Drosophila melanogaster: one gene and its partners. The protein of the gene in region 4 interacts with the protein of the main gene of each other region in a pairwise test. Each region holds a gene or a part of one and is shown on either strand. Other genes may lie near its edges.

Region 1 (7,740 bases), about 12 Mb from region 4:
ACTGCGGCAAGCGATTTGACAACTGCCTCAAGCGGCTGAACCACGAGCGCAACCACAAGGAGAGTCCCGTCCACCGACCACACGTGTGCTCCACATGCCAGAAGGCCTTCAAGACTTCGACGGCTCTCAAGGACCACATCGTGGTCCACACGGGGGAACAGCCATTCCAGTGAGTTACGGTCAAACAGACACTGTTTGGATCTTTACTTAATACATTTTCTTTAGCTGCGAGCTCTGCCAAACGTTCTTCAATAGAAGGAACGCCCTGGCCACCCACTACAAGTCGAAGCACCATCGCCTGAAAGTTGAGGAGCAGTCAAAAATGCCAAAAATGGATGCTACTGTCCAAGCGGATGGGTAAATCGTTGGTTCCTTGAGAGGATTATTTCGCATGTTCTGCTATTGACATGCAAAATGCCCCTCTGGAAACTTTCTAAAGTTGATGTCAATAAAAATTGGTTACAAATTGCTCCCTCATCCAAGCTGAGTAACGGGTATCTGATAGTCGAGGACTCGACTATCTTCCCTTGTTTCCTAATAAGATATGGCATAGCAGTAAATTGTGGTTTTGCTAACATCAATAATTTTCAATAAAGAATATAATTAAAATAATGAATTGGGCTATTCTCAACAAGTGCTTAAAGTAAACAAAAAGCTTAAAGCCATATGCACCGTACTAAAATCGCTACGCCCGTGAAAAGTGCTCTTGGCTACGCACATGGACACAGCCTGGAGTTCAACCCCTAGTTCAAGGTTATGCAGCCCTGCAAACTGTGCTTGCTGTTTTGCAGAAATTCGCAGTTTGCCGGCAAAGGATGAAGTGCGCAGTTCGCATCTGCGGCAACAGATTCCTCTGCGAGTTCGCCAGTCCAAGCACATCTCGGTGAAAGAAGAAAGCATATTCCGGACTTTCCCAACAGTCCGCGAAACTTTTCATCGACTCAACATTGCCGAAAACGGGAGAGCTCAAATTATTTGCGAATAACTTTCACAGATGAGGTCGTCTAGGACAGCCAGCGATTCAAAATGGGTGTGTCACTCAAACTCTTATTAATATTCTAATCTGGTATATTATGTATACCTTCGTTTTTTTTTTGCATTCAAGGTGCGCCAGTCAAACGACAACAAAGACACAATGCGCTCCTCGCGGCAGGTTAACAAAAAGCTTGTGAAGCTATTCCTGGCGGAGGCAGACGACAGTGACGCCACCTGCACCACATCCACTGCCCTGGACACGACCACAGCAGACAGTGCGTTTTTTGATAGTGATTTCGAAGAGGAGAGCACTGGGCTCCAGGAATGCGATCCCCCGCCGGCAAGCAAGTGCCGCACCTGCTTTCGCATCATATCGCGGCATGAGGATGCTCAGGATCTATATGACAGGGTCAACATAGCGCTTCTGCACCACATAAAGGTCATCACTGGGGTGTGGGTACGTCTGCGTCTGCATTTAAACTTACGTTTTCTTTTTTGTTGTTAAATTGTTTCATCTTCGTTTTATAAGTTAACTTTGTTGACAAGGAACATAATATGTGAGTTCTTAAACTGTTCTACCACAAATTTAACAGAAAAATAAACCCACTATATAATATTATAATAAAGCTGCATTAAAGAACTAACATTTTATTGCAGATACAACAAGGAGTCAAAGAGCTACCGCATCACATTTGCTCAACGTGCCAGGAAACTGTGAATAAATCCATGGAATTCCGTGCCAAATGCCAGCAGGTCGACAAAAAGCTTAGGCAGACGACGGAAAAGTACAACATTCAAATCTGTGACGAGGAAATGGAGTCGGAGCTGGAAAATGTGCTCTACGAAGAGTCCGCCCAGCAGGCAAAGGGAGTCGTAGGACTAGAAGATTTCAGCTCAGAGTTGTTGCCGGATAGTGAGGGTGTCCTGGATGAAGACGACTTTCCACTGGATGCAGAGCCAACTCAGTTTTCACTAAGTGAAGATGAGTTGGATCTAGACAGAGACACAGAAAAAGACTTTGCTTTGGAGCAAAACAAGTCATGTAATGAAATAATTAGCATACGAAAGTGTAAGACTAAGGAAGAGATTGGTAAGGTAGATCACGGAGCCAAGGTCTATAAGGTTGTGCTCGGTGAGTACAATAGCCTAAAGGAAACTGCACCAAAGTATTCGCTTTCACTACCAAAGAAACCTCAACTAAGGGTGAGTCCAGAGGAGAAAAACCGAAGGCGCCGCGAAAGGATACAAGCGAAGCCATTGAACTATGTCTGCGACAAGTGCGGCCACACCTTTCGCCAACGCAGTCAGCTGCAGATGCACTTGCTCCGTCACAATAGGGCCAAGAATTTCGAGTGCCCCGAATGCCCGAAGAAATTCTACGATCTCTATACGCGCAACATTCACGTAAGAGCGCTGCACAAGGGCGAGCATCCCTTTCCCTGCAACCATTGCAATGAGTCCTTCGCAAACGCAAGCAGTCGTCACAGGCACGAGAGGTGAGTGCACCTACTATTTGATGGTTCCATCATCTAATCACTTCGATTGACTCCAGGGATGTTCACGGAGCAGGCAATCGGATTCGAACGCGGGTGAAATCAAAGGAAGAGGGATCCAGTCGCCATTACTGCACCCAGTGCACCAAAAGTTATACCAGCAAGAAAGGTCTAGTCCTGCACATGAACTTCCACAACGGAAGCAGACCCTTCCAGTGCAAGATTTGCCAGATGAAATTCGCTGACCCATCTGCCATGAAACGACATCAAGCTTTGCACGACAAGTTTCCCATTCGCTGTGACATCTGCCTAAAGGGATTCCTGCTGCGCTCCCAACTAACAAAGCATCAGGATGTACACACAGGAATGCATCCTCATCGGTGGGTGCAAAAGAGAATCCCGACTACTGTCCGTTTACTTATTTCTTTACTTGATTTATATTGCCAGGTGCGAGATCTGCGATGTTCACTACCGCCATAGATATAATCTAAACAAACACAAAAACACCGATTTGCATCGGGATAATATGCAGAAAGCTATAAAAGAAGAAGTTAATGGACTGCAACAAGCATTTAAAGATATTGATAAGGAAATGGACTTTGAATCTCAAACACCAATGCAGCCAAATGCACAGGAAGTGCGAGCCAGAACTCAGGATGAAAAGACTCAAACTATTGAATATATATAATTTTTATAAAAATTTATATACTTTCATGGCGAAGTACGTAATACTTCTAAGGTGACGTTTAGTAAGTGCCGACATAGAAGATAATGCACGAACAATATTTTAAAAATATATAATTCGTATAATAGTATTATGCATTTAATAACGTTAAGCTTAATGAAGAATAGACTTGACAACCTAAATACAAATCTGAATAGTTCAGACGTATGTTTCATGAAAGGAACAATAAATATTTATATTATTAATATTAAATAATAATCAATTAAAAAATAATATAAGTGCATTTGTTTTTCCTAATTAAAAAATCAGCTGATACTGTTATTTGAAATTCTCCAGTTTCCCGGGCAAATGAGTAAGGGGTTGGTTTTGAACGTTTCCTACACTGGCCGTTGAATGAATGATACATGATTTTAAAATTACGATAATTGTAATAAAATGAATACAAAAAAAGGACTGAAAGTAATAATTAAATTTGTATTTAAAGGGAAAATATTTTTAATACTTTCTATTGCCTAGGGAAATGATGAGAAGATATTTGACCACAAACTATTAAAACCAATATTACTTATTTATTAAAAAATTCAACCGAAACAGCAGTGCCGTTAACCACCCCGATTTCAGTGTAGCAAAACACCAGCCGACTAGTGTTGCAAAGCACAACCACCCATTGTATACATACATATAAATAATACCTACGCACACATACACGCACACACGAGTACAGTCGCAAGTTGCGACTCGCAACGCCATACAAAAAGTTGGAACTGAGTGGAATCGGAGTACTATATAGCCAGCCGATCCCTTCCAGAGCGCCGGAAGAGTAGCTCACATCCGAACCCACGTCCCCGAGCCGATGTCGCGGCGGGAATAGAGCGATTCGCAGTCCAAACACGATGATAAACCCCATTGCATCCGAGTCGGAGGCCATCAATTCGGCCACCTATGTGGACAACTATATCGATTCGGTGGAAAATCTGCCGGACGACGTGCAGCGCCAGTTGTCACGCATCCGCGACATAGACGTCCAGTACAGAGGTGAGTTCTGGCCGAGATTACGCCTGTTGGAAAAGCGGAAAACCTAACCTCCTCTCTTGGTCCAAACCCGTCGATTTGCAGGCCTCATTCGCGACGTAGACCACTACTACGACCTGTATCTGTCCCTGCAGAACTCCGCGGATGCCGGGCGACGGTCTCGAAGCATCTCCAGGATGCACCAGAGTCTCATTCAGGCGCAGGAACTGGGCGACGAAAAAATGCAGATCGTCAATCATATGCAGGAGATAATCGACGGCAAGCTGCGCCAGCTGGACACCGACCAGCAGAACCTGGACCTGAAGGAGGACCGCGATCGGTATGCGCTCCTGGACGATGGCACGCCTTCGAAGCTGCAACGCCTGCAGAGCCCGATGAGGGAGCAGGGCAACCAAGCGGGCACTGGCAACGGTGGCCTAAATGGAAACGGCCTGCTTTCGGCCAAAGATCTGTACGCCTTGGGCGGCTATGCAGGTGGTGTTGTGCCTGGTTCTAATGCCATGACCTCCGGCAACGGTGGCGGCTCAACGCCCAACTCGGAGCGCTCGAGCCATGTCAGTAATGGTGGCAACAGCGGCTCCAATGGCAATGCCAGCGGCGGAGGAGGCGGAGAACTGCAGCGCACAGGTAGCAAGCGGTCGAGGAGGCGAAACGAGAGTGTTGTTAACAACGGAAGCTCTCTGGAGATGGGCGGCAACGAGTCCAACTCGGCAAATGAAGCCAGTGGCAGTGGTGGTGGCAGTGGCGAGCGCAAATCCTCGTTGGGCGGTGCCAGTGGAGCGGGACAGGGACGAAAGGCCAGTCTGCAGTCGGCTTCTGGCAGTTTGGCTAGCGGCTCTGCAGCCACGAGCAGTGGAGCAGCCGGAGGTGGTGGTGCCAGCGGAGCCGGCGTAGTTGGTGGCAATAATTCCGGCAAGAAGAAAAAGCGCAAGGTACGCGGTTCTGGGGCTTCAAATGCCAATGCCAGTACGCGAGAGGAGACGCCGCCGCCGGAGACCATTGATCCGGACGAGCCGACCTACTGTGTCTGCAATCAGGTGAGTTCGCAGTGCTTTTCCTATCGAAAAGCTTCGCCACTAATCACGTTTTCTATTGCAGATCTCCTTTGGCGAGATGATCCTGTGCGACAATGACCTGTGCCCCATCGAGTGGTTCCATTTTTCGTGCGTCTCCCTGGTACTAAAACCAAAAGGCAAGTGGTTCTGCCCCAACTGCCGCGGAGAACGGCCAAATGTAATGAAACCCAAGGCGCAGTTCCTCAAAGAACTGGAGCGCTACAACAAGGAAAAGGAGGAGAAGACCTAGTCTATTAGGCCAGCCTATCCAACCCATTGCTCTGTGTCTAACACCAGGCTCTGTAAAATATTCGATCCTAAGATTTACCTTAATGTATATTTAGTGACTTTCTTAGACCCGATCCCTTTTCGACTTTCCCCTCTTTCACCCAGTTTAGATCCCTCGCTTCTATGGTTATAGGTCGTCAGTTTTCATTTAAAGTTTCTGTACAAACAATATCTTTCTCAATGTAAACACACAAAAACTCGTATAATTAGAGTACACCTAAACTTAATTTATGGTAATAAACGTTGATATTCAAAACCCACAATAATTTCTTGGCCCCAAGGAGCCCGTATCCAGTAGCAGTAGTTTTACGAATCTATTTGTTTAATTGTCGTTTAGAAGACTAAGGCATTCGAATTACACATAAGTATAATTGATCGTGTATAAATGTGTGTAAAATATATAAATTTATATAAAACTATTTGGTAGGCATCTGTGGAATTGTATGGAATTCTTATTGTAAAAAATGCGCATGGACGGAGTTCTTGTTGCGTGTCAAGTCAAAAAGTATTCTAATAGATTATTCGAGCTTCTGTATGGAGGTTCTTCCATCATGGCATGAGCAGCTCAATGTTCGGATTCTGGATCTCCAGGAATATCTGGTACTGCGAGAAGACCACCAGCCAGCAATAGATCTAAGTGGATGAGTAAAATGGGTTTATAAACATAATGATACAGGAGTTGGTGTTGCTGTCCCTTGAATTTCAAACACTTACATTGTAGGCTACCCAAACGAAGTTCAAAAGGGCCGAGAAGGTTTGCTCCAGCTGGCGGTAGAGTAACACGAATTCATTAGCTTTAGTTAATGGAAAAGATAATCGCTACTCACATAAATATAGTAGCCTCCAATAAGCCAAAGGCTCCAGCTAAACTGGAAGAGAATGGCTAGTCCAATTAGACCCAGCCAGGGTAGCAGCCATCCTCGAGTGCTGAGAAACAGATGCAAGCATGACTATATCCGTACATATAGGAAGCCAGAGCTCGTCTTACCTGATCTTAATACCGTAGTAGACCAAATAGGAAGACAGGATGATTAGCAGGAAGTAGATGATAAAGAAGCCACCTGCCACGGGCATCGACGAACGTATATCCGTCTCAAAGAGCGGGGAATAGAGCTGCGCAGACTCCCCGCCTGCTAGCATATACGAAATCAGCGTGATCATTACGGCGGATAGCGCAGCCGTATAGCCGGCCACGGCATAGCTTCCCGTCCGGACATTATCCGACCAAATTATGGGCGACCAGCAGGAGCTCAGCACTACCATGTTGCTGTGGGAAAACACCGGGAGACACCAATGAACAAACTTCTCCGATCTCAAATTTCTTTGGCTTGCGTGACAGCGTCAACGCCCAAATATTTTGGTCAATGAAAACGCAGTCGAAATGTATGATTTTCTTCTGCTTTTCAATTGATAGCTACTTCTAAAGGTTAACCTTGGATATATCCTTTTAAAATGTCCAGATTGTTTTGGTTTCTAGGGCGTGGGCGTACCTTTTTTTAAATAATAATCGCTTAATTAGAAAAACAACAACGGCTTGAGCAATAGGGTTGCCATGCGTGCGTAAAAAAGGGAATTATCGATATTTATTTAGTTAAATATATCGCGAAAAGTTATGATATGTTTAATAAATTGAAGACATTTTCAGTAAATAGAATGTTTGCAAATTTAAAGTATGAGAATATTTTAATAAATATTATGATTATAAAATTAAAAAGTGTATGATACTAAATAATCGATGACTATCGAATATAAACTGAAACGCGAGTATGAGCACTGTACAGTATATTAAAATATTTATTATGTTTCCTATAATTCTATTAACTAACAAATGTACAGCAATGTATTTTAAGATATATTTATCAAATGTTTAATTTATTATATAATTGGTATATAATATATTAATTGATATATATAACTAGGTATATAATTTTTAAATTGTGAATTAGCTTAAAATTTGTTTTACACTCTTCAAGCTTGTAAAAACAATAATAATATCTGACCATCGATCGGTCCCACTGTGCAGCACTGAGCAGCTGAGCTGACCGAATCTGAATTCGAATATTCACCATGTGTCGACTGGCGACTGCAGCAACAACAACCACACGGCAGAGTACAGGGCCGGTTGTTGGAGTGATCTTCATTTGGCAATTACATTTGGCCGTGTTCGGAGGTCTCCGCGGATAAAAGCGCCAAAACAGAAGCCGAAAAAGGC
Region 2 (6,700 bases), about 24 Mb from region 4:
GAGTTATGGACTTTGTCGGCATTTGGAATGAAGCACAAAACACTCACAAGAAGGTAATGACGAGGAGAACGCGAAGAACAACATCTACGGCATCGCTGAGCTTCGCATTAGAGTTTCCTGTTCTGTGGCTTCGTTCCTCTCGCTTTTCTGGCTGAACGGAGCTGCTGTCCGTGTTCATAGCAAGTTCATTGCGCCACATTTCGTCGTCGTTGGTCCTGGTCCTCGATCCTGTATTCCTGACGTCCTCTGCGGAACTGTCGCTGAGGGTTCGCCTGGATTCTTGACCTTCCTTGCTCGCAGTCATTTCGTTAGTCCGTTGGGTATATTCGGTTGTCAGCTTAGGCCTGGTGCTTGTCGCCTAAATAATTGAAGAGATAACCAAACGACGAGTCATTAATGATTGCACTTATGTATGCGGACGGGTAAACTACTTCAGGTGTGGGATAGATTGAAAAGAAGGCCTATCTAACTTTTTTACTTCATGTGCATATGTGCTTATCAGTCGCAGATTGGGAAGTCTATTGATGAAAAAGCTAATGCTTTTAGAGAGTATACCGGAATAGGCAGGCAACCCCCCCTTACTGAAGCGGTGGCATGGGCAAGCCTACGATTTTCGCGATTAGATACAAATAGTGAAAAAAATAAGGCCCCATACGAGACGTATAAATTGAGATAAAAATGTTTCCAATCATCCTAGCGATTGTGCCAGCATTTGCTCACACTAAAACTAGAATGTTGATAAATATTTTTATAGGGTTCGTAGAAGGAATCATAGCATTCGCTTTTCTTTCAGTGCACACTTGGCCACGCTTTTCGTCAATGTTTGTCATCAAACGCGGTTACGTATGGCCAGATAGGTATGGATGTGTGTGGTGCACATATATATATGGTATAGTGAGCGGCTATATCGTATAGGATGCCGATGCCATATGCACACGCGATGGATTTAACAAGCCAGGCGTCAAAAACACTATTGGCTAGCTGACGAGCACCTGCTCCTTGCCTGTGCCGCCAATATTGCCGTTGCGGTCGATTGGATTTTCGCGGCGGCGACTTCGTAGGTCCGCCGTACAACTATCGGGCATTATCACCCGATCCGATGCAATCTCCTGGGATTTGGGTATATTTGAGTTGACTTTGGAACTGTTTGCACTTGGGGCATCCACTCGTTGTTAGTCTGGTGGCGTTAATCCCGACGTGGTTTCAACTTGACTGCTTCCCGATTGCTAATGCTGCTGAATGCTAATGGCAGGGCTTTTTATAAACTTTCTCTAATCTCGCAACAGCATCGTAAAACAAACTGCGAAGCCAGCCCCTTTCACCTCACCCCTCTCCAAAAACTAATGCGCAAGAAAACAACAACAGCTGTTTGCCCTTTTCGTTAGTCGGATTCCCCGAGAGTGTGCAGCTTGACCGTTTACTTGTTAATTGGGCATGACCGTGTTTGTTGCGGCAGTAATTACAATTCATTGCGTAAAACTCGTATGCACGCGACAAAACCAAACTTTTTTCAGCCGTTTCTTTTCGTTTTGATTCAAATCAGTCGGTTGTTAGTTTGCAAATCAGAATAGGGCTGGCGATAACATTTGTTATCGACGGTAGTGCCAACTCGGCGCATAGCAGCGATAAGTCAGGGTTGTTGGTGCGATCATATGATTGAAAAATCTCCGTCAGACCGAAATAATAATAATATATAAATAAAGTTATTCCTCAGCCCGCAATGAGCATTCAAAGAAGCGAAAAGGAGGCCGCGGGCCAGCTACTGGATGACTTGTACCTGGACATGTTCCACCTCGTTGAGGAGCACACCCAGTGTCGGATAAATTTGGAGCGATGTAACGCCAGTGGGGCGATTCTCCTGGCCCGCACTAGATTTCAGCACGGAGGCAGCCAGTGCGTGTCCACGGCCCAGATTCCCACGGAGAACAGTGCCGAGTTTAACGCCCTCTGCCGGGTCGTGGACTCCACGGATGGCGTCTGCATCGAGCGACAGGCGGTTGACAAGTCCAAGGGCTTCGTGGAGCCCCTGCATTGGTTCTCGTGAGCACTGATAAAGCCTGTGTGTATGTGGGTCAATGTGATAACTCACTTACTCCTTTTTCCAGGGTACTGCCACCGATGAGCTTGCGCAATGCTGTTAACAAGTTCAAGGACTGCATAGAGCTGGTCGCCGAGAGCACTAATCTGCAGCGGCAGCTAGGAGAAGCGCTGGATTCGATCACAAAGCTGCGAAGGAGTGCCCTGCTTAGCTAGATACTTATGGCGCGCACACAATCCATACAATGTTAAGAATAAAGTAGATTTGAAAACATTATTGAAACAGCACTCACTGACTCTCGATGAAGAAGATATGCGAGAAATTATTGTTGATCTATCTGAAACGTCAATTTCATAATTATCTGACGTATGATCCCACCTCGTTTAAAAAAACCTATAAATGACGCCCAGAAATGCCTTTTCTTTAGTATCAAATAACAAACATTATTAAAATGGACTACATATTTATATCGAGCTTAGAATTTTTCTTATTTTAGTAAGCCAATTAGTTTTTCACAGAATAAGAAGTCCATAAATTGGCTCCCCTTGTCTTTAGTTCTACTTTCACACGTTTTTCTAACCTTTAAGAGTTAGAAACAAAGATTTTTGCACTGTTATTTAGCTAATTTATACAATATAGACTTCCACAAACCTTATCTTGATATTTTAGTACGCCTAAATTTTAAATATTTCCGCTCAGCGCTCTCATGTGCGAGGCTGCCACTCGGCGAGTGCAGAACCAGCAAGTGGGCAGTACCGCGAATTCTACTCGTCAGCTGTTTGATTTGTCAACCATTTTTCGCTTCGTGTTCTTAGCGAAAATTAAATCGAACGCGTAATTCACTTGTTACATTTGCGGAGTGCATGGTGAGTCCCTATCTCGATGGTGTTTGAGATCCTCCGCGTCCCAAGATCCGTTTCTGAAATAAAACTGGGACAGAAGCTGGGGTTCTAAACCAAAAATCGATAATAAATTGCCAAACGAAATAGAAGCACAAAATTGAAGCAATTAGCAAGTAATGTAATCAACTTGCAGCCCGAATAATATAAGCATATTGTGCAGGAACATGCGAGCGGAGGAAAAGCGGAGGAGCAGATAACAGAACCAAGCGACGCCCAAAAAGTCGCGGATAGAAGCGCAAGAAGAAGCTGCAGCACAGCGCGGGCCTTTGTTGTTCCGTCAGCTGCGGATTGAGGGCAACGGCACCTCCCACTCATCCAGCCCTCTTGACCCACGCCCAATCACCCACGTGCCTGCCACCCCCTGCTCAGTGCGAACATGAGCGGCGCTCGGGATCAGACGGATCCCCCGCTGCTCCAGCTCGAGGACGAGGTGGATCTCATCGGGGACTTTGCCAAGGACCAACCTCCGCCCAGAAACCAACTGTCTCCGCTTTTAAATGGCTTCGAGTCGACAAGCAACCAGTTGACCACCAAAGTTGAGGTGAGTGCACTCCGTTCTCAACCTCACCTTCTGCAATACATATGGCAATATGAACTGACTTTTTCCTTAGATCAACACCGTCGGCATGGGCAAACGCAAGACAAGGAGAAGAGGGAAAAAGGCGCGGGAACCCATGCTACTGTCGGTGGACGACGAGGATGACGAGGAAGAGGCGCAAGAGGAGAGGAACCACACCAACGGGCTGCCGCCAGGCGAGGAGAGTGCCGGCGGCGATGCTGTTATTCAGAAACCGCAACTGGATAACTTGGTCATGCATTACGACGACCAGATCGACGACGAAGATGGCGAAGAAGCTGTGCTGCTGAAGAGAAGCTCAAACCCGCGCAACCAAAGACTCAAAGGTAGCGCTGAGGATAGCATCGACAGCAGCAGCCAACAGCCACCGATTATTTGTCACATCGCACCCGCGAAGGTAGCCTCATCTGCATTGACATCTCCGCTGAAAACCACTTCGCACACTGCTCTCGCCCGTCATCCGCATGACGAGGCCGACGACATCTGCCTGGTGCCAGAAATCGACTTCGAGGGCATGTCCACGGACGCCGGCAGCGACAACCGGGAGTCACAGCCGCTCTTGGGGGGAGGCAATGCCAGTCACGGAAGTCGCATCAGCGAGCTTTTGGGCGGACTAGGACGCGGGCACGATCATGTGGAGTTTGTATCGAACACATTTGGCGGTGAGTGCGCAGCGGTCTAATGAAGTCGTACAAGTTGCATTTCCTACCACACCCAGACCACATTGCTGCCTTGTTTGCTTTGTGGCTTTACTCATGATGTGCTTATCACTTCTACGGCTACATATGGTGGTTCTATCTCCACAAGCAGCGCAAGCTTAGAACAGATTATTTAGGGCCTCGATGTTATTCATTCAACTTCATCTAATTTCTTTTATACGGGGAGGATCTGTAACTGGAAACTAGCTATTTCGCCTCTGTTACATACTTGAATATAAACTAAACGTGAATATAAACTAGACAAAATGTCCGACCAAATGAACCAAAAAGACTCTTAAATAGAATGATAAGGGTTAGATTCCTAGCTGCTATACGTTTTAAATTTAAATTAAAGTCAACAAAAGCACCCTGGTCAACCCAAGCATTTCCGTCCTCCAAAAGAATTATTTACATTTAGATTTATTTAAAAACTAATACAAACTGCTTTTGTATTCCCTTGCTAAGATAAATAATACATATATGAATCAATGCAATCATAAGAATAACCACATTTCTATTGGTTAGTCCATGAAGTGCTTACTCAAATATTAGTCAATTTGTACGTTGTGCAGGGAATTGAGCTAACTTTTATAGATATATGTAGAGTGTGTTGTGGGAGCGATATACACTGCCAAATGAGTACTCATCTAGATCTTTGACCTTTGTGACTCAGGTGATTCGCACTGCTCTGCTGCCTTTGAACATACGCTGATGAGTAATACCCTCCGATTTGTTTTCGTTGCATTTCGAAATAACTTCCGAAAGCGATTTATAGTTTGTCTGTTCTTTTTGCAATCGTTTTACTCAGTACTGAATATCACTAGATGGCCATATTTCGCTTGCCCTTTGTATGTTAATCCTATAGTCATCGCCCCACATTTCAAAGCATTTTTTACAATTTTATGGTTTTTACAAGAATTAGTTTTTTTTCGAAATTGAGCACAAAATTGTGTGTTATAAATCTTGGTGTACTTGGATGTCACCGTGGACGTCTGTAGCTCGGAATCGAAGTCAGTCGGGAAGCATATAAAGAATTTCGAGGAAGGCACTTCAAAAATGGAACTTGTTCCTTTGGCAACTGTCGCCAATTGGACATAGCCCCATGCCGAAAAACAACATTAAGTCGTTTCTCAGCCAGGTGCCGTTGCCGAACGCTATAGCAGCCAAGTACCAAGAGCCAAGCGAACCAAGAGACGATGAGCAGCCCACGACAAGCAAGGATGCGCTGGAGAGCAGCTCCTCGGTGCCCTCCGCCTCCGCCGCCTACGCCTGCATCTGTTGCGAGCACAAGTGCCCGCTGGAGAAGGATTTCTTGGAGTCGCAGTCGGACAAGGAGGGCGATCCGCCCTTTCTGGTGAACTCACCGTCGATGGCGCGTGACTCCAAAGACACAGTAACCGTTCAAATCGCGGCTCCGCGCTGCAATTGTGCCAACTGCCCGCTGAGGAACCTCTGTAAGTGGTGGCAAGGGGTTGGCCCTTATCGAAACGCTTTGGCTATGCTAATTGTGACCTGGTTCTCCTTTATCAACTGCCAGCCGACTCGAAACCTCTCGACTGCCGGCGCACTTAATATACCAGTGCCTCCATGTCGCGCTTGTCGAGCAGCAGTCGCGAAAACTTCATACCGCAAGTGTTTACCATTTGCCAGGACTTGCAGGGCGATTTCAACGACAACTTTGATTTCATAGGTAGCGTGGAGAGGATTAGCGTAGTCAACAGTCCTATGCCATTCCTTGATATAAAGTAAAGTGTAGGATGGGGTCTTGAATTTCATCGCAGTCTTATAAGCGTTTTCGTGCATGTTTGCTGTAATTATTTTTATCCAACAGATGGCACGTTATTTCGTTGGTGTGTTTATAAATTATTAAAACCATAATTATATAGCAAATTTGTTCAATTTTAATAAATGACGAACAGTCCGTTTTTTACCCGTCGCTTGAGGCATGCGAATCTTCGTTCTACGCACAAACTTTTTTAGTAATTTAAAGCCCTAGTGCTAATGCCTATTTTTAATTTTAATCTTTGATTCTTATAGATGACCCGCTTTTCTCGGAGATCGTGGCGAAGGCGGAGGGGGCCATCGAGAATGGTGTGCTGCCCGAGCGCATTTACCAGGGTAGCAGTGGTTCCTACTTTGTCAAGGATGCCTCCCATGTGAGTAGGGAATCGGGGTGACGATCTTCTAGCCGTTCTTGCGCATAAGGTGGGAGTTGGGTCGTCCAGTTCTGGGCCTAACTTCGTCGATCTTTTACTTTTCCGCGCATAGATAAATAAGATCGGGTAATCGGGGAAGTACTGCAAATATAAGGCTTTTGCAAAACTTTTGGTTTTTTCCTGAAACAGTTTCAAAATAGTGAATTGTATATTGTTTACCCGCTTATGCTCTATGTATTTATTATGCCATTTCTTATGATGCTCCCCCTTAGCAATGCCTGGCCGTATTTAAGCCAAAGGACGAGGAACCCTATGGCAGACTGAATCCG
Region 3 (8,306 bases), on a different chromosome or scaffold from region 4:
TTCCCGCGGAACTTTTGCAGATCACTGTACGCCGGCGGCGGCGGATTCCGGAGGAGACCACCTCGATTGCGACGCAGTGCTCTGCGCACGGGCATCCTGATCGGCGTCAGCCAGCTCAGCTGCTCCAGGCGGCGTTTGTGGCGCTGCCGGAGTGTTCGCGAGGCGCAGTACGGACGGACGGTGATGTAGAAGAAGATCTCGATCACCGAAAAAATGCTGAAGCCCATGAAAAGTCCCAAAAGGCCGCCCGTATTAGCTGGAAATTTAAAAGATAAGATATAATTAAGATTAGTTACATTTCTTAGTTTTGAACTCTTACACAAGAATTCGGTAAAGCCAAACATCTCGGACTTGGTGGTGCTGCGAAATATGTTGGTCATGTAGTAGAAGTGCAATATCGAAATCTCGCTGGCATTGCTATATGGCCCGTGGAAGATATATTCGGGTAGATTCTCGCCGGCCTGAAATCGTGGATCCGAAACGATCGAAGCCGTTGAAAGTGTGGCCCTGTATGTTAGCTCGAAGCAACCCGGCCAGCAGTTCTCGCAGGACAGATTCGTCAGCGATGACTCAATCTCGGTTTGCACCCGATCCGTGCACTGATTATCGTTGGGTCCGCACACCCTGGCCAACGGATCGATCCGGGGCAGATAGTACAGCACACAGCTGCACTCGCGTAGCAGCAACTTCGCCTCGCATTCCAGCTCGCAGTTCTTACGCGAATATGTCCGATAGTAGGCCAGGTCATTCTCATCGGAGAAGAGGCAGCGACGCACCGATTTCTTAATTGACCGTATCGTGGGCAGGGCATCCTCATAGACTGGTTCGATGGGTATCCGTGCCTCGCGTCCCGCGGTCACAACGAAGCCATAGTTGCTCACTTTTGGCAGCTCGGCGGGATTGTGCACAAGAACCTTCAAAGCGGATTTATACAATCAGTAGAAGTATATAGTTGACTAAATACCATGCATCCCACCTTGAAACCAACACTCATCGACTTGGTGCAGTAATACTCCGCTATGGAGGCGTTCAGCACGACGGTGAGACCCATGCGGATGCCCGTGCCCCCCGAGGTGCGCGGAAAGTAGAACTCCGGCAAATTGCGGGCATAACCCTTCTCTGGTGTCCAATCGATGAGCTCATAACGGGTATTCGGATGAGCCGTCTCCAGCCGCACATCGTCACTGTAGTTCCGTATAAGATACGACGGATGCAGGGCATTGAAGTTGCAGCACAGCCCATCGTCCGTCAGTATGGAGGTGAAGAGCCAGGAGCAGTCCTCCTCGCGCGATCCGAAGCTGCAGTACAGGAGCATTTTCTCGCACGGCTGGGCCACGTCCACCAGGATCGCCTTGAAGTACTTCCAGGTGCCGATGTACGAGATGGTCGTGTCCCCGCCCTGGTCACACAGACCCATCAGCAGCGAGAAATTCGTGCTGGTCCGTCCAATGCGATCCACTTTGCTTAGCAGCGCCTGGTTGAGATTACAGATCGTGATCGCCGGAAATGGCATGTTGCTGGTCAGCTTTTGCTTGGCACTGGTCGAAATGATTATGGGCGAAGCACTCCACTTTACGTACACGTTGGATATGAAGAACACGGAAAGGATCACCACCAGCACAAAGGCAAGACCAAAAAAGATGCTGAAAGGCGATATAAAATATGAATTGTAAGTTCGTGGCATTGCTCGTACTTGTCTATATATAAAGTAATGCCTCTTTTAGTGTCCGCGATCTCTGCGATAGGCTGATCGATTCGGCTACCTTGCTTACGTACCGTTCCGGAATGGTGATGCTCTCTTCGGCGATGTACTTTAATCCATGGAGGGTGCTGTTCTTGAGATAGTAGACCACACTCCTCTTAATGGCCGCCCTGCTACAGATGGTATTCTCATCGTCATCCGACTCGGAGTCCTTTTTGCACCCGGAGGAGCCACTTTGGCGCCGCCTGCTTTCCGTCAACGTCCTCATAATGCACTACGTCCGCACTTCTTTGAATCTCCGCTATTTATAGGTCACTTTCTGACTGCACTTTTAGGTGCAATTCCATGGCGGTCATCAGCTTTAATCATATTGAACCAAGGCAAACACGGTCGTCCATTTGCAGTGATAACTGCCAAATTGATTTTAGCCACCCCCTTGCCATCCTCCACGTATTTTGAAAATCAAGTGGATGGCCAGAAAATATGATTACATCGTGGCAAATAAACTTTACACCTGAAAGTAAACATAGATACACGCACGCTTTTCAATAAAGATATTCTAGATATTGTAATACACACAGGTATTGAAAGGGATTTATTTAAGCAGCAGCTTTGTACTAAAAGCAATAATAATTTTTCACAGAAATTTACCATTTAGCTGAACGCCATTAAAATTGCGATCAATTTAATTGACTTGCAGTAAACACAAATGAAAAGTATGAAAAGCTGCTAGAAACCACAAGCATATATACATTAAACTAAATTGGCCAGGATTTTTATTCACTTCCAAATGTTCCAGCAAATAATAACGCAACAATTTCAAAAATCAAGGAAGATAAATTCATTTAATAGGCATCTTTCGTTAGCCAGTTAAGTACTTCATAAATAATCTCCATCCGCATGCGGCATTTTTGCCACTCAACCATTTACATTTGCGTACTAATTGCATAGATTTTTGGCTGGAGGTTATATGAGGTTACTTTTCAAATTATACAATTTCAATATTAATATTCAGTAAAAATTCAAAATACAATACCAAAATGTATCTAAGAGATCCCTATTTCTATATTTACATACTCCATTAATACATTTTAATCTACTTAGAAAAGTTCGTTTCAATTTTCAGAGACTTTCTTCATGCAATATGCACGATAAATAAAATAAATGTTTTAAACTTTCATATTTTAGAACCTTTTCAGTGTTCAAGTTAAAAAGTAGTTGAAATACCTTTCACTCTATCATAGAATTCTTCATCTCCATTGCTAGCTAAGCGCTTTCTATACATTTGTCCCTTCTAATTCGGATTGAACTGGAAGAAGTCCACGTTGAGATCGAGAATAGCCTCTGTGTTGGGCGTTTCCTTCATGGTCAGGGCCTCCACGGCATTATCGCTGGCATGATCGTAGCCATGGTTCACAGTCGGAGGAGCAGTTGCCACTGGCGGCTGCATAAGATCGCTGACGTTTCTAAGCAGACTCTCCTCGGAAGGCGGATGAAGTTGACCGCCCGCCGATAGATTGAGACGCTGTGCAGCCTCGTCTGTGAGCGGATCGTCCAGCGACATGCTCAACTCTGCGTAGACCACCAGATTGCGGGCTCCTTCACTACCGCTGCCGGCAACCAAGGCCGCTCCCTCTGATTCCGGCATCGGTGCCAGCGGCGACTCCATGGCGGACATATCCAACGCATACTGACCCTCGGGTATGCCCAAAACTCGTGCAATTCGTGCATTTACAAAATGCAGTCCAGAGGTATTCCGTATAAGCCGTTGGCTGCGCAATTGCAGCTGCTCCACAAAGTCGTTAAGTTCGTTAAGAAAGAGATCAGAGCGCTGTTCCTCGCTGAGATGGGAATGCCGCTGCAGTTGGGCGGTCAGAAGGCCGAACAGCGACGGCGTGGAGGGAGGATGAACCGTTGATGGTACTGTAGCTACAGCTACAGGTGGTGTCTGCTCGCCCGGACGCGGCATGTGCTCTGGGAATTTGACAAAGTGACGCTGCAGACGGCGTCCCAAAAAGATCTTTCCACAGCCGGGACAAACGGCATTTTTGGGCACGGCTCGTTGGATGGTTGTCGTTGTGGTCGGTTCCTGGCTTATACTGACGCTGCTGCTGACACTCGTGCTTTTCGGCGCTGCCATGGGTGCCCGGTAGTCCTTGTCCCGCAAGTCGGCCACCAGCATCTCAAGCATGCGGGCAGAACTTGGCTCAACCGCTGAGCCACTGGTCACGGGAGCGGGCTGTGGCATCAAGCTGCGCACCTGGCGACCGGATCTAGTGCGATGGGTGTCGGGAGCAGGTTTTTGCTCCGCTAGTGTTGGTTTCTTCGCCACAGGAGCGGTGGCAACCGAACAGGCTCTTTTCGATGGTCTACCCACTTTGGCAGGCGGATTCTGGGCATTTTTCTCTATCGCCGGGCGAATCCCCATGACGGCGGGATCCGGACAGCGGTAAATCGTTAATTGTTGCGTAGCCGCATCTGTGCGAATCACCTGATGGCGCTTTCTGCACAGGAATAAAAGATCACGGAACGTGATCAGAGAAGGTGAATGAAAGCTCCAAAAAATAGGGATTACTACCCACCGATCGATGACTATGTGATCGTTTTTGGACAGCTTGTGCAGACTGCAGGCCAGCTGGCCCAGAGTATCCTTAACGCGTAGCAAATCGCCTCCTGCAGCCGGCAAATCTTCGTCGGGCACGGAATTCTCTGCAGGATTCTTGGCGGCCTCCTGTCGATCCTGTACACCACCGGTCTTATCCGGCAGCACCTGCAGCTCGGCCAGGACCGAGGGATCCTCCAGGAGATGCTTCATTGGCCAGCCACGTTTGGTGGTTACAAATAAACATAAAAACAAATCTATGAACAAAACCGAATCGGATTTCGTGTTATTTTGGTATTTAGTATATTCTTAGATTCCCATGACTGTGGTCACACAAATTGTTTGATTTAAGCTTGCAAATACCTCGTGGTGAATAGACGTGCTCAAACAGAACATAAAGCAAATCTAAGAGTCAAAATTTTTTCTCTTCATCGAGGTACTATCATCATTAGCGTTCACTTATTACATTAAAATTAATAAGCACATCATCATCCCATTTTTAATACAATTTAGCTTTCGATACTAATCGCCTACACTTGATTCTCACCACAACCATTTCCCAAGGTCTTAGCCCATTTAGTTGCGCAGTGGAGAAAGAAAATAATCGATGATTCCTCGAAAAACATCGATGTTTGCGATTTTTCTCCACCTCTAATAAATATTAGCGTTATTTTCCGGATAATTATAGTTTGAACTTGGAAAATCCGCGGAGGCGAAGGAAATGGCCGAGAACGCGGGCTTCATCAGTGTGCCCTGGGGGCAGCACAAGCTGGGCGCGATGTACAATACGCCGTTTCCCTCGATAAGCCGCCCGAAGTGCATCGGTGTGTGCAGCATAAACGCTAGCCGGGAATTTGTGGACGACGCCAGCTGCGCCAGCTACTTGGCTGGCCAACCGTGGCCACCGCTGCCGTTCGATCTTAACGGGGGTATAGAGGATGTGATCCGTAAGCCCGTCGAGAACGGCAAACGGGATCTGGAAATTATGCTGACCTACATTAAGCAACACCAGAAGGAGCTGCTCCGTCAGAGTAGCTCCGATGCGAGAAATCTACGCCTGGACAGCGACTTTGTAACACTGCGCGGTATTTTGCGGCAGATAATGTGCCTGCAGTATGATAATCGCTCATTCCGCGTCAAGGCGACGCTCCTGAACGGCAACGTCTACATGTGCAAGGAGGAAACCCCAGAGCAGCAGCTGGAGAACGCGAACATGAGCAGGGCACAGCGGGTCATGTGCTCCTGGGGCTTCAAGTTCGAGCAGTACCTGACCAGTGCCCAGGCGCAGGGAAAACCGGTGACCAATGTGCCGGTCAACGAGGCAGAGGAGTTCATGGGCGTGTACCGCACGAACCTGGCCGGGATTTTGATGCTATACGGCGCCGAACTGGACTGTGTGGACAGCAAGGAGCCAGTGTGAGTGGTCCAGGGTTTAAATACTTATGAATGATTAATGTTCCATCCATTCATTATTTGTGTATACACTTACACGAATCCCATTAGTGACTTCAAAGATTGCAGAGTGCTCGACTCATTGAAATTCGTAGAGCTAAAGACCAGCGTCTTCAATATGAACCCTCACCAAATTCGCACCTTCAAATCGTTCAAGTCTGCCAACTGGTGGAGTCAGTCATTCCTGGTGGGCATCACTACGCTCTACGTGGGACTCCGCGACACCAAGGGCATGCTGCAGAGGATCGATGAGATCGATGTGGCAACACTGGCCCGCAACAAACCGTGGAGTGCATCGGCAATGGCTTGGTACCTGGAACAGTTTCTGCGCAATCTTAAGAAGCTGCTGGTGAACATTAACGATCCGTTTGCGGTGGTCCAGGTGACTTTTTTAAATAAGCACGCCAGCTACGAAGTGCTGCGCGGTCCGGAACATCAAATCCTGCCCAACTGGTATCGAGATTTGCTCAAAACGCGCTCCTAAGGCAATGCATAACATTTTCTAAACAACAGCAAGTCTGATTTTATAATGGGAATTAATCGTTTCTTTTTGTAATGCTTCCCGTACGATAACTACAACTTAGAACTACTGAATTGAGTGCATTAGTCACTTGAGGTCTTGGGTATCCAGGAGGGGCAAGACGCTGTCTTCCATTTTGGCACTGGTCGGGCCAAAACGTCGCCTGTCGGGCGGACTGACGGCGTTGGAGCTGCTCACTCCGAATGCTAGGGCTGCGCGCAGCGCTTTGCGATTTTCGATAACGCGGTCAAAGAAGCGGGACAGTTTCACGGCATCAGTGGTACCAGCGGCCAGGCTGCGACTGTTGCGGCAATTTAGCCAAATCTCCTCGGCTCCACACTTGTCGGCTGAGGGATATTGAAATAGATAAACGTTAGGAGGAAGCATTTGTTAAATGTCATATTAGGAGGCACCTATTCCGCCCGGCTTCTTCACCCCCATTTTGGGATGGCGCTTCTCGTCCAAGAGATCCAGCTTGGTGCCCATGACCAGGATAGGCGTTTGCGTGGCGCCCAGAAACTCCTCCATGTCGAAGAGAATGTGGCCGTCCGTTCCGAGGTTGTCCGTTGAGAAGCTGCTCAGCGGGCTGGGCGGCGATGGCGGCATGGAGGCTCCGTTCGATTTGTTCGTATCCTTGCCCTCCTTGTTGACGATCTCGTACAGCCAGTCGATTAGCTGCCTCTGCGACTTGGCGTTGGTAAGGTCGTGCACCAGAATGATTCCATCGATGCCCGCATAGAAGACGCTGCGCGTGTTCTTGTGGTTCAGCGATCCCCCAACATCGAACAGCTCCACGAAGTAGGGACACTCGCGAGCGGTGCCCTCCCTGAACGGATGCATCTTCACCTGGATGTTGCAGCCCACCGTCCAGCCGGGCCGGATGAGGGCTTCGTTGTGGGTGATCAGGTGCGTCAGGGAGGTCTTCCCCACACCTGGGTAAGGGGAATTCTCGAGAGGATTAGTGCCACGGAAAGCGTTTGACGTCCATTATTTACCCGAATCGCCAACCACAACAATTCGCACTCGATTATTCATCGCCATTTGATTGGAACTCATTTTATTGGTTGCAGCCACACTAGCATTCAATGACTACTACTAACTACTAAGAAATGTTAATAATGACACAAATTTCAGTGATAGTTAAACTACGATAATGTTATTTTCCAAAAAAACATTAGATTTGAACTTAAAATGTTTAATCATTTAATCAATTTAATAGTTTTTAAATCTGAATTTAAAAATGATGTTCAACACTTTTGTGTTGGTATATTTTCGAGGGTCGCTTGGCATATGCAGACTATCGCCCGCCGGTCACACTGGCTAAAGCTTAAAAAAACACTTGGAAAGATTCAGATAATAAACAAAATCAAATTTATCTGAACTTCGAATAAGATGGAATACGAAAGTGTGCTGATCGTGAAGCCGGAGGTGTTTATCTACAAAATACCACCCCGTGCGAGCAATCGTGGTTATAGGTAAGTCGACAAATCGGCTGGCAAACCAGGTGACTACTTTTTTTCGCCCCTTGCTTTTGGATTTTCTGCCATCAAAATTGAAAGTTCTTCGTGCATTTCAACGCCCACTCACTGCACATATAACTAAATATATATGTGCATATATCCACTGGGGGTGTGGGAATGCATTAATTATGTTTTTCTAAGAAAAAGTCAAGGTTAAAGGCAGCGCGACTTCTGCTGCTGAGGCTGTGAAGTTCAAATCCAATTGATTTTTTTTCCTGGAATTATTGTTGAACATTTTCACTTACACGTATCAGGGAGCCAAGAACAAAAACAAAAAAAAAAAAACAGATAAACACACAGAAAGAAACGGGGGGCAGCGAAAAAGCTTCGCTGGCGTGCGTGTAATTGTTGCTATTTGCAGCCACTCTCTTTGTTTTCCTTTTGTTGCTGTTCATTTCACAGTTAACTGCGCTCAGGTGGGCAAATAACACAAATTATCGGAATAACTCAAATATTGGGGGTATACCATAATTAAAAAGCTACTACGAACGACCCATTAATCGAATGCCA
Region 4 (7,049 bases):
GTCATCTAACTCTTGTATCTCTCACTTTAACTCCGACTCCTCCGTGGCCATTTCACCGGCTAGGTCTTCTCCCGGGAGTACAGCCACAAAGACTTTTGCCTTGCCCATCTCTTTACCGATCTCAAGTTCGAAGGCGGCATTTTGGGCCTGGCCTACGTGGGCTCCCCCCGTCGCAACTCCGTTGGCGGCATTTGCACTCCAGGTTGCTACACCCAGTTGACTCTCATATTTGTCCTTTTCATTTGGCTTATAGACTTTCGTTTCCTTGGTTTCCTTTTTCTTTAGTTTTCAGCTTGTTTTTTAGGGGTGCTATAGAAGTCCCAAGAGGGTTTCTTGCATACCCTTAAGTTGTGTATCCCAAACTAATTTATTTTCGTTTCGTCTCCAAGAATACTTCAAAAATGGTTACACTCTGTACTTGAACTCGGGTCTGAGCAGCTCCCGCAACCACTATGGTCAGCGGGTCATCACCAGGGAGGCTGACCTGGTCACGGCCCATGAGTTTGGACACAACTGGGGCTCGGAACACGACCCCGACATTCCGGAGTGCTCACCTAGCGCCTCGCAAGGAGGCAGTTTCCTCATGTACACGTACTCCGTCAGTGGCTACGATGTGAACAATAAGGTATGGTTCTCCTGTACCTCCACCAATAGAATTTTTTAACGCCTTTCCATTCCTTAACAGAAATTCTCCCCCTGCTCCCTGCGTTCGATCCGTAAGGTGCTGCAAGCCAAATCGGGCAGATGCTTTTCAGAGCCCGAAGAGTCCTTCTGCGGCAACCTGCGAGTCGAGGGCGACGAGCAGTGTGATGCTGGTCTTTTGGGCACCGAGGACAACGACTCATGCTGCGACAAGAACTGCAAGCTGCGCCGGAACCAAGGAGCCATGTGCAGCGACAAGAATTCACCGTGCTGCCAGAACTGTCAGTTCATGGCCTCCGGAATGAAGTGCCGCGAGGCGCAGTACGCCACCTGCGAGCAGGAGGCTCGCTGTACCGGCGCCCACGCCGAGTGCCCCAAATCGCCGGCCATGGCGGACGGAACCACCTGCCAGGAGCGGGGTCAGTGCCGGAATGGCAAATGCGTGCCGTACTGCGAGACCCAGGGTCTCCAAAGCTGCATGTGTGATATCATCGCGGATGCCTGCAAGCGGTGCTGTCGCATGAGCATCAATGAGACTTGCTTCCCCGTAGAGCCACCTGATGTCCTACCCGATGGCACACCCTGCATCACAGGATTCTGCAACAAGGTATGCTTGTGGATTGACTCCTTACATTGCCCATAATTATGCTAAGCTGCGATTTCTTTCAGGGCGTATGCGAAAAGACCATACAGGATGTGGTGGAGCGCTTCTGGGACATCATCGAGGAGATAAATGTGGCCAAGACCTTGAGGTTTCTCAAGGACAACATTGTCAGTAAGTATTGCAATCTTAAATATTACATTCTGAAGATCCCCACTAAGCCACACTTGCTCAATCATATTTTCAGTGGCCGTTGTCCTCGTCACTGCAGTCTTTTGGATTCCCATCAGTTGCGTCATATCTTACTTCGACCGCAAGAAGCTGCGCCATGAAATGAAGCTGATTGAGTGGAGCCAGAAACTGGACCTTATACATCCCAGTGACGAGAGGCGTCGAGTGATTCACATACGGTAGGCGCTCAGCCTCCTACTTTATAATTATATACTGATAACCAACCACCAATCTATACTTTCAGAGTGCCACGCCAGAAGATTTCGGTGGCCCGAGCCTGTAATTAGCACAAAAACCCAGTGGGTTCCTTTTGTTTTAATCTTCCGTGAGCATTCTTCTTAAAACTGCCACAATTCGTTTACATTAAGTGACATATTTGAACATACGCAACACAGAATGAATAAAATTCCATATAATATAGACCAAAAACAAAAGGTCATTATAATTGGATGGTTTCTTTACATTATTAAAGTCGTATTGAAGTTTTTATTTTTTTCGGATCATTTAGTTAGCTTACTGGAGTGTAATGTGTTTCTACTTCTTCTTATTACTCTTGCCGTTCGTCTGAGGAGCTGCTTCTTCGTCGAATTCCAGTTCGCTATCCTCCTCCTCGTCCGAATACTCCTCGTAAATCTGACCGTCGTCAAACTCGCCAAAGTTCATCTCGACCTGAGGGTACGGCAATTTGTTAGGAACAGGAACCCAAAGTAGATAGAAAGATAGATAGATGGATGGATGGATGGATGGAGCTCACCTTGCCGCATACGTGTACGGGTCCACTTCCCTGCACCAGTTTGAAGGTCACTGATCCATTGGGGAACTCGACATTTGGTCTTAAGCTACGGGTCTCGCCGACCTTCAACACGGCAATGGGGATCTTCAAGGTTTTCTTCTCGCCATCGTCGTTTATGTTCGTCTCCGCCTGGAAGCGAAACATTAAATTTGTGTGCATTTTATCACTGTATAATTTCCGAGTTTTTCGCGAAATATGATATGAGTTAAATCAGCCATGTCGCCTTTAAATTTACGACCTGCGACGCGGGGCAGATTGCCGGTATCGAGGCTCACCTGTACAACGTTGAATTCGCCGGTCTTCGCTTCTGGGCCGAGGGAAATCTGTTTGATGATGAGCTTGTGCGAGTGGACGATGTACTCCTCGGGTACATCTGGGACCTCGAACTGTGCGATGGCCTCCTTCTCGCTGAGTGTGACACCTGGAAGTGGACGAACGGCGAGAAGGGTTGGATTTCCGACTGCTTTTTGCCGGCTGGAGGGGAGCTGCTCGCAGCGTGGCTATGGGATGGCTATTGGAGCGCTCTTCCAGCCCAAATGGCAATGGTACTCACCATAAAACGACTCGGACTCCATTTGCAGGCCTTGGAACACAGATGTACAGTCAATTAATAAAAGAACCTTTTGTACTCTACACGTGCCCGTAAAACGGCGATGGCTGCAGTTGTGTGAAGCGTTGAGCGGTGCTGTTATCGAAGCGCAGGACTATCGATATTATTCGTTTAATTTGTTGGGAACTTCGCAAGTACTGGTAATGAAGACTTGAAATATTTTTTAATATATTTTACTGTCGCGTTAGCTTGCAACAAACGAATATAGATTGTCACATTCGATTGGACACTACAAGTGGCAGCCCTGCGATTTTGATTCCCAGTCTGACAATCATCGATTTCGGCACCTTACGTCGGCCTGGCAACCCTGCGACAGCTACCATTTTGCAAAAGATTTTGCTCAACACGTGTTCGCCGCTGGTTTTGTGTGGAATTAATATTAAATATTACCTACCATGGCTGAGGAATCATTCTACGGTAATTACAATTTAGCAGTTGCACTCTATAGGCAGCGAAAGGGGGCAAAAGTGGACGCGTAGAAGGCGTATTTACCACCGAAAAGGCGGAGTGTCTGCGAAGCTTGCCGGTGTTTTTGCTCTAAGATTTGCCGCTGGCCAATTTGTGTGTGTCTAGCCTCAAACCCTCGGATTTGAGTGCGCGAATAAGATACGAATCAGAAAGTATAATGGCGACTATATCCCCTCCGCAGGAGTCACTTTGACCGCCGAGAGCGACAGCGTCACGTGGGATGTGGACGAGGACTACGCACGCGGCCAGAAGCTGGTCATCAAACAGATCCTCTTGGGCGCCGAGGCCAAGGAGAACGAGTTCAACGTGGTCGAGGTGAGTACTCCATTCATTGTGTATGCGAAACGGGGCATTCAGTGCATGTAGTAAATCCCATAAATTGTGTATGCGCGCGCCGGTTGGTGTCCTCTTCTTTTTTTCTTTTTCATTTTTTTTTTCGTTGCATTTTTCCGGCCGGCGGGGCAGGGACCGGTTTCCATTTTTCCCCCAGACCAGAACAACCTCGAACTTTTCGCTCGTTGTGGTGGGCTAGGGTAATTGTGTCTGTACATCTGCAAACGGCCGCCGAGTAACCAGCCCCGGACTTTCGATTGCCATGGTACATTACCAATGGGATGTGCTAGGTACATAAATTCTTTTTAGTACAAGGTACTTGCAAAGAAGTACTAGGTACTTTACAACTGTCCCAGTAAATCCAGGGACTTAGGTGTTTTGTATATTGTTAGGAACTTTCGAGAATAACTATCAAAGCACATCTTCTTTAAAGAATATAATTTTTATTATAATAAATATTTTTAATTTGTGCTTTAAAATTTCTCATTAGTTGTACCTAACCATCATTATACCTTAACCATCAAGATCCTCATAGTTTAAGTACCCCACCTTTCCGAACCAAATTCATTGGCGCAACTGTACGCAGATACACATACGGCAAGACAAAAGAGCACTCTTTATTGACTCAAGTCAACGGCGATACACGAATCGGCTGCCTCGGCATCCGCAATTGTTTGCATTAGGTCTGGAAAGCTTTTCGAGAACTTGAACATACTGCGCAGCTTCCTGTCCATCCGGCAAATCACTCCCGCCGCCGGAATACTCCAATTCCAGCAGATCATGTCGCACTTCAGCAGGGCGAGATCTTCGCGCAGTGACTTGAGGTTCTTCGCGAGGAATAGAGAAGAGGTTTCGGGTCAAAGGTCATAGTTTGCAGCAAAGAAAGCTGGCACTCACCAAAGCCACTGTCGTATCAATTGAGGCAATCTCGTGTCCCTTAATGACCACCAGTGTGGTGGGGGCACTTCCCTCGCTGTTTCTTTGCGTCACGTGCGACACAAGCGACATTTTCAAGTACTCGGCTGCCGCGTAGTCCACGCTGCCCTTGAGATCGGCCATGGTCACCTCAATGCCGTTAAACTAGGTTGATTGCCAATAGAAATTATTAGGCCCTATATATGCAGTGTGTCAGCTCACCTTCTCGGTTGTCAAGAAAAACTGCGGCTTCATGCTCTTGTAGAGCAGGAAAAGCGCATTGAAGACGATGCCCACCACCATTCCGTACTCCAGGGTCCAGAAGACACAGGTCAGCACGGTAACCAGGAAAGGCAGCATATCGCGCTCTGTAAGATAACCAGACTTACTTTAACTTCACGTGGGATCCCAAATGCCATGTAGCACTCACTTTTAGCCCGCCAAATCTCGCCAATGGTCTCGTACTCCACCATAAAGAACATGGCTGCAATGATGATGGCTGCCAGGGTCGCCTTCGGAATGTAGGCAAATGTGGTGGTGAGGAAGGCCAGGGTCATGAGGACGAGAGCGCCGGTAACCGCACCACCCAGCGGGGTTTTTACTCCACTGGCGTTGTTGATGGCTGTCCTTGTAAAGGATCCAGTGATAGGCATGGAGGAGAAGAAGCTGCTGAGGATGTTGCTGACGCCCAGGGCAATCATCTCCTGCGATGCGTCCACTATCTTGCCCTTGGCTGAAAGTAGAAGAAGCTCAAGTTATGGAATATGAACTGAAGTTATTCCTCCGCACTCACAGAAGGCCTTGGCCACAGCTATGCTCTCCAATATGGACAACAGTGGTATGGACACCAGGGCAGTGCCTACGTTCGATACCATGCCACCGAAGCTAATGGTTTCTCCAGTCTCTGGATCCTCCGTGTGAAAAGGGGGAAGCTTGAAAGGCGGCAGGCCTGGAGTGATGCTGCCGCTGACTAGAAAGGGCAGTTTGCCATCGTTCTTCAGAAGATAGCACAGGAGTATGCCAATTAACACGGCCACAGCATTGCGGGCCAGTGAAATATACTTCCACACGCTTTTGAAGCCGAAAGTTAGGTTTTTCAGTTGCTGAAATTATTTAAACATTTATAGTCTCGCTAATCAAACCTTCTAATTAAGCAATTTAATTAAGCATTACCCACCCTCATGAGCAGCAGGAGCACAAGTGTGCAGCAGCCGAGGATGGCATCATTTCGGCGTGTTTGTGTTATGTGACCGAAGAAGTATATCCAGCTGTTAAGGAACCCACTGGCACTACTGCTAATGCCAAAGAGGCTATTAACCTGGCCGGTGGCAATGGTTAGGGCGGCTGCCATCGTAAAACCCGTGGTCACCGGCACCGATATGAACCGCATGAGCACTCCGAGATTGAGTAAACCCATTAGGGTGATGATGCAGCCGGACAGAAAGCATATTAGCACCGCATACGCTGGGTTGCCGTCCACATATGGCTGCACCATAAGCGCCATGATGGCCGTAGGGCCTGTGGAAGAACGATTTGAATTACTTAGCGCACCACCTCACCAGAGGCTCCCCAACTCACCCACTGTGATATCCTTACAAGTTCCAAGCAGTATGTACACAAATCCACCCATAAAAGCGGAGTAGAGCCCATAGGCTGGTGGCAGATTGGCCACAGCTCCGTAGGCTATGGCCTGTGGCACGGCTGTGAGGCCCACGGTGAGACCCGCCACCACATCCATGGCCAGGAAGTTCAACTGGTACTTGGGCAGCCAATCGGTGACGGGCAGGTATCTGTGGACGGAGCGCATGCTGCAGCAGCTCCTCGCCTTTGAGCTCACGGCACCGCAAACGTTCGGCAGACGCTCCCGGTAGAGATCATCTGGAAAGCACAAGTGGGCTATTTAGTAGGTGTGCCTCCTGGGGCGCCTTGAAATCTTGATATGGCCATAGTTAAGTGGTTTATTTGATTGAAAAACGCTCTTTTATGTACACCCATTCGCAATCTCTGCACATGATCTGAAGTGCCTCGATGATTTCCTGCGGTTCGGTGGTCTTGTGACTTCTGGAAAAATACCAAAGATGTCTACAAGCTGATAGACAAGTTCATCCAGCAGGCAGCACAATGCCTTGATGTTAGCACTTTGAACCCTCTGTTTTGGTGTCTCATATTCTAGATAATTAGTGAGCCGCATATAGTATCCTTGGCTAGTTTGTATCTTATGCATTTATATTATTCAACGGGGGAAATTTACGTTTTGATCCCTTCTTGCTTGATGGACACGTTCATCCCCAGGAAGCCAGCTTGTCACTGATAACTCATCTTTCGCAGCTCGTAATAGCACTGTCATCTTGTGGATTCTCTTGTCTAATTACGGACTCATTACCGGGTATTTACCATAAATAATGTAATGTCTCCGAAGACCTTTGTTTAGTTTCCTTTAATTGTAGTTTATCTCA

What was found.
Region 1: the proteins of Nph (region 4) and CG7379 interact in a two-hybrid assay, tested with the Drosophila melanogaster proteins (one large-scale study listed by BioGRID).
Region 2: the proteins of Nph (region 4) and CG14671 interact in a two-hybrid assay, tested with the Drosophila melanogaster proteins (one large-scale study listed by BioGRID).
Region 3: the proteins of Nph (region 4) and CG13005 interact in a two-hybrid assay, tested with the Drosophila melanogaster proteins (one large-scale study listed by BioGRID).

Annotation. Positions count from the first base shown.
Region 1 is NT_033777.3:17,794,416-17,802,155, reverse strand, and holds CG7379 (uncharacterized protein), read left to right. Parts: upstream 1-3,851; 5' UTR 3,852-4,046; coding exon 4,047-4,188; intron 4,189-4,269; coding exon 4,270-5,222; intron 5,223-5,283; coding exon 5,284-5,490; 3' UTR 5,491-5,780; downstream 5,781-7,740. Other genes in the region: CG17806 (uncharacterized protein), read left to right, coding at 1-169, 226-361; CG17803 (uncharacterized protein), read left to right, coding at 995-1,030, 1,106-1,432, 1,633-2,471, 2,528-2,848, 2,916-3,156; pasi1 (pasiflora 1), read right to left, coding at 6,078-6,161, 6,243-6,293, 6,356-6,455, 6,517-6,791.
Region 2 is NT_033777.3:5,559,746-5,566,445, reverse strand, and holds CG14671 (uncharacterized protein), read left to right. Parts: upstream 1-1,630; 5' UTR 1,631-1,720; coding exon 1,721-2,040; intron 2,041-2,105; coding exon 2,106-2,253; 3' UTR 2,254-2,469; downstream 2,470-6,700. Other genes in the region: CG12746 (uncharacterized protein), read right to left, coding at 48-304; Pi4KIIalpha (phosphatidylinositol 4-kinase II alpha), read left to right, coding at 3,317-3,481, 3,552-4,179, 6,253-6,371, 6,644-6,700.
Region 3 is NC_004354.4:16,799,971-16,808,276, reverse strand, and holds CG13005 (uncharacterized protein), read right to left. Parts: upstream 4,628-8,306; 5' UTR 4,518-4,627; coding exon 4,285-4,517; intron 4,207-4,284; coding exon 2,997-4,206; 3' UTR 2,523-2,996; downstream 1-2,522. Other genes in the region: ppk28 (pickpocket 28), read right to left, coding at 1-256, 320-914, 977-1,643, 1,777-1,970; Rai1 (Rat1 interacting protein 1), read left to right, coding at 5,026-5,720, 5,808-6,240; CG4789 (uncharacterized protein), read right to left, coding at 6,364-6,623, 6,690-7,208, 7,272-7,317; CG9132 (uncharacterized protein), read left to right, coding at 7,669-7,751.
Region 4 is NT_033777.3:30,001,762-30,008,810, forward strand, and holds Nph (nucleophosmin), read right to left. Parts: upstream 3,101-7,049; 5' UTR 2,843-3,100; coding exon 2,821-2,842; intron 2,689-2,820; coding exon 2,543-2,688; intron 2,397-2,542; coding exon 2,229-2,396; intron 2,144-2,228; coding exon 2,009-2,143; 3' UTR 1,920-2,008; downstream 1-1,919. Other genes in the region: tace, read left to right, coding at 64-202, 390-625, 686-1,249, 1,312-1,417, 1,491-1,653, 1,719-1,761; Nlp (nucleoplasmin), read left to right, coding at 3,273-3,294, 3,527-3,660; CG7912 (uncharacterized protein), read right to left, coding at 4,296-4,505, 4,576-4,758, 4,816-4,961, 5,024-5,326, 5,387-5,696, 5,771-6,111, 6,172-6,471.